Linked DNA regions of Drosophila melanogaster. The protein of the gene in region 1 interacts with the protein of each later gene in a pairwise test. Each region holds a gene or a part of one and is shown on either strand. Other genes may lie near its edges.

Region 1 (4,808 bases):
CGAAACTTCTTGGACTGTCGATTCATTACATTAAATGCGGGGGGGTGGTGAGGAGTGCAGGTGCGCAGGTGATGGGCAAATGTCATAAATTATTTGCCTCCCCCTCCCGAGCGGGGTGGTTTTATATGTAAATTTATATAGGATATTTACACGCAACATTCGCGGCTGCGGCATCAAATATTTACACTGATTCCGGGTATTCGAAGACAACAAAAGAAATGAATAACAAAAAACAGGTGGGGAGCAGTGGGGGCGAAAGGCCAAATTGATGAACCTTGAAAAATGTGTTAAAACTTATTGTTTTCTTCGTCAGCGATTCTTGACGAATTGATATTTTCGAACTCAGCGTGGTAAAAATGGAATTTTGAAAATTTTAACGTTTTGCGAAAAGTAGGTAATGATTAACTAGTTTTGAATACTATTGAATGATTAACTAATACGGAATGAGCCGTATTAAGCACTTATCACCATAAAACTAAGAATTTGGTATACTCAACAATTGCCACTAAACAATCCAAAAGCCAAAATTAATGGGTCGCTATCCGTATAAGCTGATAATACCAGGGAATACCAGTTTGGCATAAACAACTTGTTGAACAACCCGCAAATAGTTTGGTTAACAACATTTTTGTTTTTCACCTTATGCGAGCGAAGGCAAGGTAAATGCAATTTTCTAGCCCATAAATCTGTTTGAGCTGCTAACTTTTGGCACTTTCATTGTGGCCGCTATCGTTTGTTTGCCGGTGTGTGGCACTTTGTTTAAGTTTGGTTACCAACCAAGGAACGAAAACATGGTAAGAAGAAATACCCAGCGAACGAGGAAATCAAATGGCCAACGGGAATGGCCAAAACGAAATGCTTGAGATTTGTTTAATTGCATCCTGGCTGGCGTTTTTTGCCATCAAAAAAAATAACAGGATGGCTAGCACTCCACAAAATGGCGTCCATCCGAATGGGCGGTGGGCGGTGGGCGGTGGTGGTTGATTCAGTGGGTGGTTCGATGGGGGACAGTACTTACGATATCCATTGGTATATGCCCGACACAGTCAGCTCACCCTTATCCTCGAGGGCGTATTCGATGAGCTCCGTGTAGGTGAACGGTGGTTTCTTTGGCCTGCTTGTTTTGCGGTGGTTGGTTTTGGATTTCAGCCACATTGGTGGGTGGTTCGGTGGTTTAGTGGATCGGCGATTGCGTGGTTGGGGAAATTCGTTGGCGGCATCGATTGGAGGACGGCATTGAAAGCAAATGGAGAACGCACAAATCAGAGAAAAAGATTGTTAAATATATTAAAACAAAAGAGAGAATGCTATAGTCGAGTTACCCGACTATCAGATACCCGTTACTCAGCTAGTGTGAATGCGAACGCGAAATTTAATCATCTTTCTGGGATGTCGATAGATATTGGGGAATAAAATGAGAAAAAAATTTAAAAATTGATCCTGATCAACAAATTTTATATATACTTCAACGAATCTAGTATACCCTTTTCCTCTATGAGTAACGGGAATAAATAGATGTTTCAAATAAATTAGGAAATATAGAATTTAACCGTTGACACTGTCATATTGTTTTATTTCTGCAACACTTACGCCTTGGACGAAGTATCCTCGACGACAACGTGCTCGGCAACTATCATGTCGTTACCGTCCAACTCCGAGGTGACCTCCATCACCAGCTCCTCGAACTTGCGCCCAGTCTTGGTGGAGCCCACGCCGGCCACGCCCCCCGCTGCTGAAGCGCCAGCGGAGCCGTTGCCTCCTCCTCCTAATGCCGCTGGCATCGCTGCACTGGAGCAACTCTTGGGCGATCTGGCCCGTTGATCCACCAAACCCGATCCGAGAGATTGATTTGTGCTTATGGCGGATGCGGATGCCGATGCGGCGGAGGCGGATGATGGCGAGGAGGAACTGCAGGGCGACGTGGCGATCGGCACTGCCGTCGATGGTGGATGAGGTGGAGCACTGCCCTCCGGCAGATTGACCGCCTGTCCGTGAATCTGATTGTGCGGCGATAGGTGCGGGAACTCGTCGAACTTAAAGTTGAGCAGCCACGAGAGGTTCTTATCCTCGAAGTCCGCCTCGGTGGCTTCATTGGCCCCACTAACCGAACCGGATGAGGTGCGTCGGCCCGCCGACTGTATCCGCTGCTTCTGCGGCACCAGAAAATGTTGATTCTGATGTGGGTTCTGACCAGGACTGACATTCTGTTGTGTTGACTGCTGCGTATGATTGGATGCATTTTGAGCTGATGATGATGTTGGTGGTGGCGGCGGCAAAGTGGCATTCAATTGCCCCAGTTCCGCCTGCAGGCCGGAGTTATAACGATGATCCAGCTCCAGCAGCTCGCCACCGGTCCAACCACCATTGTCATCCAATGGAGCACTCGATGGTGGACAGTGCGAATAGGCGACGGCGGGCACCAGAAGACTGCTCTCATAGGAAAAGAGATCGTTGATGAAGGACGTCGAGGATTGGGCGGGTGCAGCGTTGGTTGGCGGATTACTAGGTGGCTGTTCCAGCTGCAGGTGGAAGTGCAGGTCCCCGGCATCGTAGTCCAAGTGTCGCTTCTTCCAGGGATTTGCCCCGATGGGCTCGTAGTCGTGGCCCAAAGCCAAATCCTCCTGATCGTCGAACTTGCGCTTAAGAAAGTTGTAATCACCGGGAAGATTAGTGTTCGTATCATTTTGATTGGTGGTACTGCTATTGTTGTTGTTGTTGCTGCTGGGATTCGATGTTGGGCTGGATGCACTGCCCGTTCCATTGACGGGCATGTTGACAATCATGATGTCCCGGCTGTCTCGATTTCAATCACGTTAGCCAAGCCAAAACACACAACTCACACTTGGCGAAAAAGAGCAAGTAACACGAAAAAAAAATTGACCTGCTTCGTCTGGGGGACGGACGAAGGATATTTCTTTCTTTATTTCTCAATCTTTAGTTTAGTCAAGAGCGGAAATTGGGAATTAGTCGGTCCGCACTGGCTAACTGGCTAACCGTCTCGCGCTGCGACTGGCCACGGAATGCGATGGGCCGCCAGGAGTCCAGACCAACTTGGCTGTTGGGCTGAGCTGCGCCTGCGCCCTCCTGCCACTCATCCACATTCACATCCACCACCCCGGACACCCAGTCATGCACATAAGCGGTACGTCTGCAGTCGATGGAAAGAGGAGCCGTACCTGTGATGGCGCAGGTACAATAAAATAATGCAGACACTTCACTGTATTATATTTGACATATTCGTTGATATATGTTTCAACCATATCACCTGCTTATAAATATATATTTATAATTTATATATAAATATGAAAAATATCAAAGCAAAGAAAGCTGTCATAGCTTCTAAATAATCAGTCGTGTACGCTGTACCAAGCTGAGTTTAAAAAGCAATCAAGTACCTCTAGGTACAACCACCCAGGTCTTGGCATCGCTGAGCCCAGGTCATGTGCCGCTGGTTCTGCTTGGTCGCTCGATTTGGCCATAATCGAACATGTGCGCCAAGCTGTCCGTTAGCCAATTTCGCGCTGACATGGGGCGGGGTGCGGTAGATAGGTTCTGGATCCAGGGTGCAGGGTGCAGCCATTGAAGCGTCTAATCGACGCTTTCATACACCATGCGTACCCAATGTACTTCATACAAAGTGAGCAACCCACACAGGTGATGCGCCGGATAGTTTAAGGGACTACGGCTCCATCTGTTCAACCCGCTCGAAAAAAAAGCAAAAGTATCTCCCCTTTTACCCGTTTACCAAAAAATATGGACATTAGCAATTCGGGTTCTTGTTGATTCGTTTATTTATTTCCATTGATCACTGGTTGAATGAGTGTGTGAATGAGTGTGTGAATGAGTGTGTGAATGAATGGGCGATTGCTTTCATGTTGGGGGGCTAAATGCATTTGCATACAATATGATTTAAATCCTACTCAGTACAATTTTGTTTGACCAAATGATGCGATTAGTTTTATCCGTTTCTTCGTTCTCGGTAATTTAGGCTAATATTATTGAACATATATATATTTTTTATTTTCTTTTGGTTGTTTCTCGAGCTTTAGTTCAACTAGATCGATCGGCACCCTTGAATCTGACTTGACGTCTAAACATTCATGTTTTGTTCGTTACAGGACAATCTTTTGATTTACCTGTGAACTGCAAATGTGAAGTTTTTAAGCATATTCTAGCTCCTTTGTATAGTTTCATTTGCCACTTTAATGGCCGCAAGTATGCTTTTCAATAATATGTGAAGAAGCGTCTCCAGCATCTCCAACATCTCTTTCTTCTCGATTTAAATAAATGTTGCTTATTCTTCTGACTGCTTGTAGTATTTTGAATATTTGAATTTTCTCCATTGTCGCCCGTTCTTTTACGTGTTGGTTAAGTTAAAGCTTAGGAAATGTTTGTTTTTTCCCAGCTGCAAAAATGTGTAAGGCAGTTGCTTTCCCTTTTGTTTTTCGTGTAGTCCATCTTCTTCCCCGCACTCTGTTGCTTTCTCTTTCTTTGTTGTTTTGTAATCTCGCTCGATTTCGTGTAATTGTTTGTTAACTTCTTTTTATCGACGCATGTTTCAGTCTTACTACTGCCCCATTTCTAAACCTTAGTCCAAACCGTCATCGACGAAGTCGGCGGAATCCTTTTTAGGCTTAGGCTCGCTCGGCTTTCCAGCCTTTTCACCCGCTTGGCCAAAGGCAGCACCCACATCTCCACCGGGCACAATCTTCTTGATAAGGTTGTATATCTTCGGGTTCGACGCGTACTTTGTGATGTTACCCGGATTTGACAAAATGTCCTACGAAAGTTAATAAATAACAACGATA
Region 2 (4,884 bases), on another chromosome or scaffold:
TAACTGCACTTTAAAAAGCTGTTATTAAATACATAGAGCGCTGTGATCTTTACGACTCGATAGCGGAAGTAATTGATTTTTCCCTTAAAATAACTGACCCATCCACATTCCTGTACACGTGACTTTTCACGTTACAGGTGGAAACAGTGGATTTGTTTGAAATCGAACGGATGTTTGTATACCTTATAACTGAGATTAATTAGTTTAGTTTATTAACTGGCTCATGAGTATATTGCATTGTCAGCCCATTCTGCGATTACAAGTTTGTATTTTGATAAAAAAATATATAAGGGTAAAAGTTTAAAAGTTAATATTCTCTTCTAAAAGGTAAATGTAAAGTAAGTTACTGATTAGAAGTTTTACTGTACCTAGCATTGAATGAAAATGTTAATATGTGAGAAACTATATCATTCAGTTAAATAATTACAGAAATTCCATACCACTCGAAAGTAAACATGTCATAAAAGTACATATCGCAATTTATATAGTTTAAATGTTTGCTCTTTTAAATTCGTTTATTGAGCAGTCCAAACATTTCTCTAAATTTTCCCATGGCCTGTCGAATCAGCTCCCACAAGTGAAAAGTGGTTGTATACAACTTTACAGCAGTAGACACCATAAAAGGCACTAAAACCTAAACTTTGTATTATTATGCAAACAAAAAATGGGAGAATGAAAATGGGCACATTTACCAAATGTGGTTTGAAACGAAATTGTTGTAAATTGAAAACAAATTGAAGTCAAATGAGATAAGGAGTGGGTGGGTGGGTGTCGAAAAATCACGGCAAAAGGCGATGAAATCAAAGGAAATAGAAATGGGAAATTAAACTACAAGCGCAACGATCAAATGCCCCGAACAACAAGTCAACTTGGCCAGATAAGATACGGTGCTGAAAAGTGCAAGTGCGTTTATGGAAATGGTTATTTACATACATTACCAAACGGGTTTATGTACATATGAGCCACGAAGAGGCGGGTCGGGGCAACTAACATTAATGGCACTTGTAAACAAATCAATTGAGTTGTCAGTATCGACGGCAAATTGGCCGCAACCAAAGTGCCACACGAAGATTGTTTATCAATTTTGCCAGTCGGTAAATTATGTTCTTTGCATGTCAGCAACCAATTGCCAGGAATCGATATATCTGCCGGTATGATCAAAGCGAACGCCGACTAAATGCAGTCACTTATTCCTCGGTGCTACTTTCAATAATTCCCAATCGGCACGGTAATTCCTTATTGGGCCGACAATATCGGGGCTTTCGCTATTTTTGTTTAACTTCATCTTGTTTTAAAATTAAACACAATTGCTTACTCCAATTGGAAACGTATCGCCGATCATATAATACCGAACATTGCCATTGTGTTTGTCTTCAATTTGGAATTTGTGTTTTCATAATTTTCTATTGGGTGTACACGGTTCGGTTGTAAAGATACGAGGGAACTTAGTTCGATGATGTGATTTGCCTGACTTTCGGTTGAGAAATTGTTTGTCGTGATTATCGATCGAATCATTGCCAGAAGTGGAATTGTAAAAAACCCATAAAAATATATATGTGGCACATCTAAGATAGGGTACACAAATCACAGAAGGTTTATGAAAAATATATGGAATGGAACAAATTTAGAAAAAGTTATTAAACTATCCTTTAAATCAAATACTATATTCAATATATATATATATATATTGCCTCATTTTGAAGATAATTGCTTGTTATTAATACATTTTGCATCTTAATTTGATCTAACCTTAAGATTTTCCATTGTTAAAGATTTGACCAGAACATGGTCACAATTTTGTTATGATTAGCTAAAGCCCGACCAAGATCTCTATGATGGATTCAGTTCGCCCGTCCAACTACCATAGTCAGCCATATCGGGACACTTGTTGGCCCTCAAACACATATGGCCAATTAAGGACGCTGAAATACGCGCAGACACTTGGGAAAGCTCATTAGGAATCTGACAGGCCAGAAGAAACAGTTCTGCCCTCTCTCTCTCTCTTGCGGCATCTGTATCATCCATCTGGCTGATCCATCGATCGCATTGAGTGTGGGCGTTACAAGACAAGCTCCTTGACACACTCAGTGGGTACAAAAGAAAAAAAAGAGTTAAACTCACTTGGGCTGGAAGATGGCGCACCTCCTTACTGGTTTTTCCTCTACTGGTTTTCGCCTGCTGTCACGAATTATAATTTAATTGTTTACTTTGCCACACTTTTATAAATTGTAATTGCCAACGAGAATGGCGACAGCTTCACGCCCTTTCTGCATTTTCTGTGGGCCGTCGAGGTGAGGTGAGGTGATCTCTGTCTTTTGGGACAATTCTCCGAGACACGCTTTTTGATTGACTTCCGACAAACGACTGACTTAAAAAAACGCGCAAGGAGATATGGGCAAAAAGTAAAAAGTGAAAAAAAAGCAGACTAAAGAAAAGAGAAAGAGCAAAAAGAAGCAAAGTTCGCGACGACTTCCGACGACGTCCGACGTATCCACAAAATGTCAAGCGAGTACAAAAAATACTTTTTTTTTATAGAAGATGTTGGAGAGAGTGAGTGAGTGTGAGTGTGCCAGTGTATTGGTCTGTTTGCGATGTGCCTCTGTGTGTGTGTGTGTGTCTGTGGGGGTGGGGAAAGGGAGCCATAAAACAGGTGGAGGGGGTGGTGCGTGGGTGTTTTGGGGCGTTTGACTTCGTTTTTCTTTCTCTTGCTTCTTTTTTTTTACAGGAGGTTTTAAAATGAAAAGCTTGTATTGTGTGGGTGGAAAATAGTACTGCATATGTGTGTGTGAGTGTTCTATATATGTATATATGGGTGGGTGGCTCTTATCGGATTCCGAATTATGTATGTATTGACTGCCGCTGCTTCTGTTCGTTGAGGGAAGAAATAATATGGGGGCTCCTAAGTTGATTTGTAGTTTAGAGCGGCATGAAAATTTCCTCTTGAAGGGAATTGAGAAGGAGAAGAGGAGTCAGGCTCATACGAGTAACCGAATAAGGGTATACAAGTAATTCAGTTTGCAAAATATAATAAAATATATTAAAATTCTTATTGATTCAAGTACTGTTTCTCATCATATGATTCATTATTTATTCGGCACAAGATACAAGATTTTTTGATTTTTTTATGGCCGCTTATATACCAAACCGTTTTCTTTCTTTTATAAAAATAATAAGTTTTATAAAATAAAACATATAATACTAAAGCAGATGATTTTATGGGCAAAACAGATTTAATTCCTTTCAAAATCAATGTTCCGACGGCATTGCACTTGCCAGAAATCACAACACAACTCGCGTTACGCATACGCCCCGTGGACAAGTCGGAATATCAGCGAATGAAAAATGAAAAAAATTGACATTGCAATGATGGCAGAACCGAGAATTATTCGCCGTGCTGTCAAAATGCGAATGTCAAGGCAAAAAACGAACCAAATGCAGACAGATAGCCAACAGAATCCGCTGAACGGCGGCAAAAGGCAAAAAGCGATAAACGCATAAATTAAAATAATTACAAGAGGCGTCCTCAGATTATTGTTGTTGCTGTCACGCACACACAGCTAGTTGAAAAAATAAACAAGAAAAGTCGCGAGGACGACAACCGACAATCGGCCAACGGAGTGGCAACTGAAAAACTGCAATTGAATGCAACTTGACCAGGCCAAAGCATCTAGAAGAAGAGCAGTACTAGCTGAATAAATGGAAGAAGAAGCACCACAAGCAACTGTAGTAACCATACACTTACAAAAATTATATAATATATATTCCAGTCATTTTCTATTGTACCATTTTAATATTTAACAGAAATAAACCTTAAATTCTATATTTTATCTTAACAAATATTCACAAACACGTCTTGGTATAACTTAATTTGGTTTTTATTGTTACTCTAAATAGAATATATTATAATTTATACATTTATATATAAAGGTTCTAAGCGTATTTTAAATACATTTCTTTTACAATTATAAGTAAATTTATAATGTTAATAGGCTTTTAATGAAATTGTATTATAACCAATATATAAAACTTTTCTAAGTGTAGAATCAGTTGATTTTTCTCGGCAACTTGGGATCCACATTGTTGCAACAACGTAGTTGTTGCCGCTGTTGTTGCTGTTGATTTTATTCAAAATGGTTTGTTTATGCCTGAACAGAAAGAGAACGCAAGAGAGAGAAAGTGCGGAGGGAGAGGTAGAAAATCTTGGGGAAATATATCCAACAAGCGCGCTCTCTCCCGCACAAACACACTCACCCAAAGTGGGCAGCCGGCAGCCAATCGGCATGGAGCTTTGGCGCTCTCTTGCGGCGCATGCTCGCTCTTCGTGGGGAGCTCTCTCCATTTCGCCGTTGGCCATTGTGTGTGCATGTGCGCGAATTCGCCGCGGCGTCCAGATGCTGCGGGTGAAAAAAAGAGAGCGAGAGGGCTTTTACCTTTTGACTGCTAATTTCCGTTCATTAAAGTTGGCAGTAGCTTGGCTCGCTCACTATTCTATATGTTCCACTCCCCCATGCCGCCCCCCCTCAGTAGTGAGTCCTTAAAGATATTTCGCCTTGGCCGCAGCTTTAATTTCATTGATTAGCGCCGAGGAAATTCCCTTCTTGGCCCTTTTATTTTTGGTTTGTCACTTCTATTCACTTGTCTGCCCGTCTGCTTGTGTTTTGGTTCCTCTGCAGCCTCCTTTACATCCTCTTTTCCACTATTCTTGTTTTGTAAGCATTTAAGTTGTCGCTGTTTCGAGATGCTTAAATCCAACTAATCGATGGGTTTCGTCTGAAAATGGTTTAGTTTGTGGGGGTAGGTTCTGAAGAGTATGACCCAACTATTCACGGAGTAACTATTTGGTAATCAAAAGATAGTTATGAAATAAAGAAGTTGGGGAAGAGT
Region 3 (4,801 bases), on another chromosome or scaffold:
TAATTATCGCTTGGCTGGCTACCTGGTAGGCAAATCAACTGGTGGAACCTTTTATCGCCTCAACGGCGAAGGCAAACAGGGAGCTTAACCCAAACACCAGCCGAATGGCAAGTTAACACCAAACACGTCAAGGGGTTAATACCACGGATGCTGGAGCCGGCGGCAAACGGAGTGGTAAACTGGGACTCTTTCAGTTGGCGTCGTAAATCGTATGGCTGGCGGAGCGCACCTGAGGGGATCTGGTGGGGCATATGGGCTGACAACAGCACCACCGAGCCACCGCACCACCGCACCCCCGAACCGCCTACACTGCTATCAGCAGACTGTTGGAGCGGAGATGGCGGGGGCCAGGTGATAACAGCCTTATCGATGTAAAATATTTTCATTTCTGCGAGCATTTCTCCGCTATTATTATTGTTATGATTGCACGTACACTGGGCGCCTTTGGATTTTGGCAATCGAAATTGGGGAAAGCTCGAAGAAGTAGTAGAGCGCCGCACTGACAGTCAGTAGTGCGATAAACTGTGCCATGGGCGTCCAATAAATTCGTTAAAAATAAAAACAGCCCACTGACAGTAGCACGAAAATAGCCATAAACGATCGTAAATCAATTAGCAAAAAGGGAGGGAACACCTCTCCAGGTTCCTAGGCCCCTTTGCCCGATATCGGGCGGGAATGGGCATATACATATATGTACATATACGTTATATATGCGGTCCGCTATCTGAGCTAACGAAACCAAACTAAACGAAACGAAACGTTGCAATAAATGGTTATCTAATCTCAATCACAACAAACTAAAGGCATTCAAAGGCATTCGAAACGAGAACGAATTTCATAAATCTAGCGGCAGCATAAATTCGCAGTTGTGTGTTTAAGTGAATTTAATTAAATTTAATTGGAATGCCTTGGCTTGAGCTGTCACTTTCGATTTCGCTGATAATGCCGCTTGATCTCCACTTGATCCCCAGTGGATTAGTGCGGCTGTAATGTTAAATCCATTTGCGGTTGTTCAACAGCAATAATAATAGGCAGCCTTTCGTGATAAACATAATTTCACTTCAAGCCAATTTATGGGCCACACGATTGGTTAGTTGGTGTGTGTGTGGGTGGGGGGGGGGGGTCAGCCGTTGAAATGAAAAGTTCTGCATTTATTGCCGTGATGGGGATATTTATAATACTGTTATTTGCTCTGTCTTTGCCGCAGTTGTCTCAATTTCTGGCTAAATTATCTGCCGCAGCGTCTAATAAATAATTCGGTTGCCAGTTTGCCATTGTTTCCATTCCATTTCGCCAAAGAATATTCTCCGCTCCATTTCTTGTGTGTTTTTCAGCTTTTGGCTTTTCTGCCTCGTCATTTTATTTCAAAAGTGAGAATTTATTTACATAATGATTCCCTAAGACAAAGAATGCCAGAATTATTTTATGCCACTTTATGGCCGCGAGATCTCGTGTGTTTACGGCCTCTTCGTCGCGAAGGTGCCAAGATTCCGATGTTGTGCCAAGGCTTTCCACATGCTTTCATTTCTATTTAATTTTATTATTTTATTCAAATTCGAGTTTAGCGGCTGCCCGGAGATCCGAGTCCGAGCATTGTGTACTTAGGTTTTTTCCACATCTTGTTTGCTAATTGTTCAGGTGACGTCAATGAGCCAGCGCCGCTTGGCCGGGCTCTCCTCCAATTTTTTTGGCAAAACCCACAGTACTGGCCCAGAAGCCCAGAGGCCCCCTTACGGAATGGCCGAGATCTCTGTTTATGGCGGCAATCCGGATCCGAGTCTCACTCCGCCGTGATTTATGCGCGGCGTGAGAGTCCGCCGTAAACTTAATTCGTTGTCCAACAAGCCGTTTATGGGCTTGCTCTGGGCCCTCAATGGGAACCTCTGCTGATCCTCGCTGGAAAGCTAGGCTGTTTTCCTAGCATCAGCTGAATTGACATTGCTATTAAGGGGCGCTTAAGTTCCTAGCCAGGTGTTTACCGGAAAACTTCTGTTGGCTATTATGACCTAACACATCGTTGTTGCTGATAATAACTTTCGTTTTTAAAAGATCCCTATATAATTCAATTTCTAAAATCTTTGAATTTCTAAATCAAATTTGATTTATAATTTCTTGCTTCGTGCGTTAGCAACTCAAGAATCACTGAGGTCAGTGTAACAAGTTTTAAGTTATGATTAACTTTATGCGACTGCGACTCACCTCTGAATGATGGGAGAGGAATTAAAATTAATCCACTAGGTGGTGGGAACGAACTTCCGTCGGTTCTCTGGTTCTGTCGATCCCGAATATCAAAGGCGAACTTTGATGGAGCAAATGTCGTGGGTCCGTCAATAAATCAGATGGCCAGCATTTCTAATGCCGGAGATCTGGGAAAGTCTCCGAAAATCTTCCGGATATATCGCGTGGGCAGTGGGCTATAAATCTCGGGGAGATCGGTAGGTTTGTGCTGTGTTGTTGCAACAGATTGCTAATCAAATGCGAAGCGGCATTTAATAAAGCCCCAGCCGTTAAACAGTTTTCGCACACGCGGTGTTGACGTCGGCAGATCAAATAATAAAAATCACAGTGATTATGTTAGTGATTAATTTTAAGTAACTCGGGGATATGTTTTTAATCTCGCTGCCGCTTCACAGAAACACACACTCGCGCACACAGTCACTCGCGGCACTCTCAGTGATATGATTTCGATTCGATTTGATTTGATAGGCAAATCCTGGCGGATTTAAGTGTTTAATAGTTTAATCCACGGCGTAATTAGGCTAAGTATCTGCTAGGGTACTCGAATCTCTGTATCTAAATCTGTAGCTCTAGACCTGCAATTACATGTATCTGGTATCACAACGGAGGCGACGCGTCTGCATCCGTAACAGGACGTAGCTGGATTGAAAACGAATTCGGAAAAGTATCTGTTGGATGCGTGTACACTGTACAGCGCATGCAGCGAGTATCTGGCTGGTGGGGTTGTGCGGGGTGGTTGGGCCAGTGCTAACGGTAAACGTGGTGCTGGCGACGAGAACTCGCGGCTACTGAACGCAATACCCCGGAATTTCGCCTTTCGAACGCAAGAGCCCCGTGTATTGCCCGCTATCTTATCTCTCTTTTCTGCCCGTGCACCGGCGAGAGGGTGTGAGGGAGATGGTCTTCTGGCCGACGAGTAGCGAGAGCTGCCTGTGCAGCGGCAGTGCGAAAGGGAGGTCCGATCATTCGAGTGCGTGGAAGACACACCCCCAAAGTCGGCACTCTCTCGCTCTCTCTCACTCAGACCCTGGTGTTTGCAGTGCGCCATTGCTGTGCTCTCCCTCTCTCGCCCACTCTCCCTCTCGCTCTTCATCCGTACATTATTTGGCCGCTCTCGAGGGTTTGATTTGTACTTTCGGGTTTGGCTCTGGTTTGGTCCTTTGTTCCGTTCTCCCCCTTTGAGGACCCCTGGCAGAGCCCTGCCCTCCGCCCCTGGACAATTGCTACGTGCTGTGTTCATAATAATAAGGCTACTTTGCCCACTTTTGAGGGCTGGCTGTCTTTTACTGGGTGTCAAGGGCGTTTTGTTATCCCATTATTCTGCGTTAGCCCGCCATTGTTGTGCCTGTGCCTGTGCCAGTTTAACCCCCCGACCGCCCCTCGCAAATAAATAAATAACTGCTCCTTTTGACGTATCCTTGCGTTTGTATTTGTATCTGTATCTCCTCCCTGGGACTTTCCCCTTTTTGATTTGTTCGCTCTGCCAGCACAGAAATACAGCCACAGAGACAGCGATACTTTCAAAGGAAGCTGAAACTGAAACAGAAACAGAAACAAGCAGCAGGCAGAATTTATTAATATTCACAACAGCTTTTGTGCAGTTCATAATTTTCGTTTTTATTTCGCATTTGCCTGCCTTTCCCTTAGGTTTTATCCTCCTCCTTGAGTGGAAGAATGGGTTTAGCTGGGTCGAAAGGGGGAAGCTGAAGGAAATGGTCCGGGAGACAGCCGACTGATGTAAATGATGCTGGCTTTATAGCCTCGTATTCCGCAACTGACATGCCACGGAACTAATCAGACATAATTTCCAATGGCCATGCGAGTCATAACTCATGACCTCTGGAGATCTCAGGAAGTTTACTGCATTCCATAGTAACAAAATAAATCAATTCGACAAGATGAAGTAGAGAATGGGAATCAGTCTGTCATGTTAAACGTGCTTCATAATATCTAACCCACTTATATATATTTAATAATTGTATATATTTGTAGGATATATTTCATTTTGGCAATCCATGGTGTGATGTTTTTGTTGATTACTGCCACCTCTCAGAACGTGCGACTGGCATAACCCAGATTGCAGATAGACTTGAAATGATAATCGCGCTGAGAGGAGGCCCTCGAAATACTAAAGCCACTCGAGTTGCTCAGACCTTCTCGAGTTTACCGCCTTTGAACTCGCCGTCACACATTTGCCCAGTTACGTAAATGTGGCACAATGTTAGAAGGGCTGGCTGGTACTCCAGCGATCCACCCACTCAGAGGGGAGAATTTCACCTGAGTGACGATGATGCAGTACAATATGATGATAAAGGGTTCTCCACCTGTGGTGCAAGGTCCGACTTTCAGCACCCCGGGGAATTTCTGTTTTACGATGGCGTAATTACACAATGTCCTTTGTGTCCCTTGGCCAAATCCCCGACTTTTATATTGATGACAGGCTGTCTATTTCTGGCCCAGCGCTGCGGGTATCTACCAGGTCGTATTTCAATTATTAGGGCAACCGAAATTAGACTTTCGACTTTCCGATATCAAAAGGGGGACCGTTTTCGCGGTATCTACT

What was found. Proteins that work in one complex are often made in the same cells at the same time.
Region 2: the proteins of fd3F (region 1) and pdm2 interact in a two-hybrid assay, tested with the Drosophila melanogaster proteins (one large-scale study listed by BioGRID).
Region 3: the proteins of fd3F (region 1) and Ptx1 interact in a two-hybrid assay, tested with the Drosophila melanogaster proteins (one large-scale study listed by BioGRID).

Annotation. Positions count from the first base shown.
Region 1 is NC_004354.4:3,800,532-3,805,339, reverse strand, and holds the start of fd3F (forkhead domain 3F), read right to left. Parts: upstream 3,025-4,808; 5' UTR 2,784-3,024; coding exon 1,591-2,783; intron 1,115-1,590; coding exon 1,019-1,114; intron 1-1,018. Other genes in the region: HIP (Hsc/Hsp70-interacting protein), read right to left, coding at 4,589-4,780.
Region 2 is NT_033779.5:12,655,311-12,660,194, reverse strand, and holds the start of pdm2 (POU domain protein 2), read right to left. Parts: upstream 3,031-4,884; 5' UTR 2,122-3,030; intron 1-2,121. UniProt on the Drosophila melanogaster protein: DNA-binding regulatory protein implicated in early development. Involved in neuronal cell fate decision. May act as an octamer-dependent activator of transcription.
Region 3 is NT_033777.3:30,910,983-30,915,783, reverse strand, and holds the start of Ptx1 (Ptx1), read right to left. Parts: upstream 3,031-4,801; 5' UTR 2,200-3,030; intron 1-2,199. UniProt on the Drosophila melanogaster protein: Appears to control physiological cell functions rather than pattern formation during embryogenesis.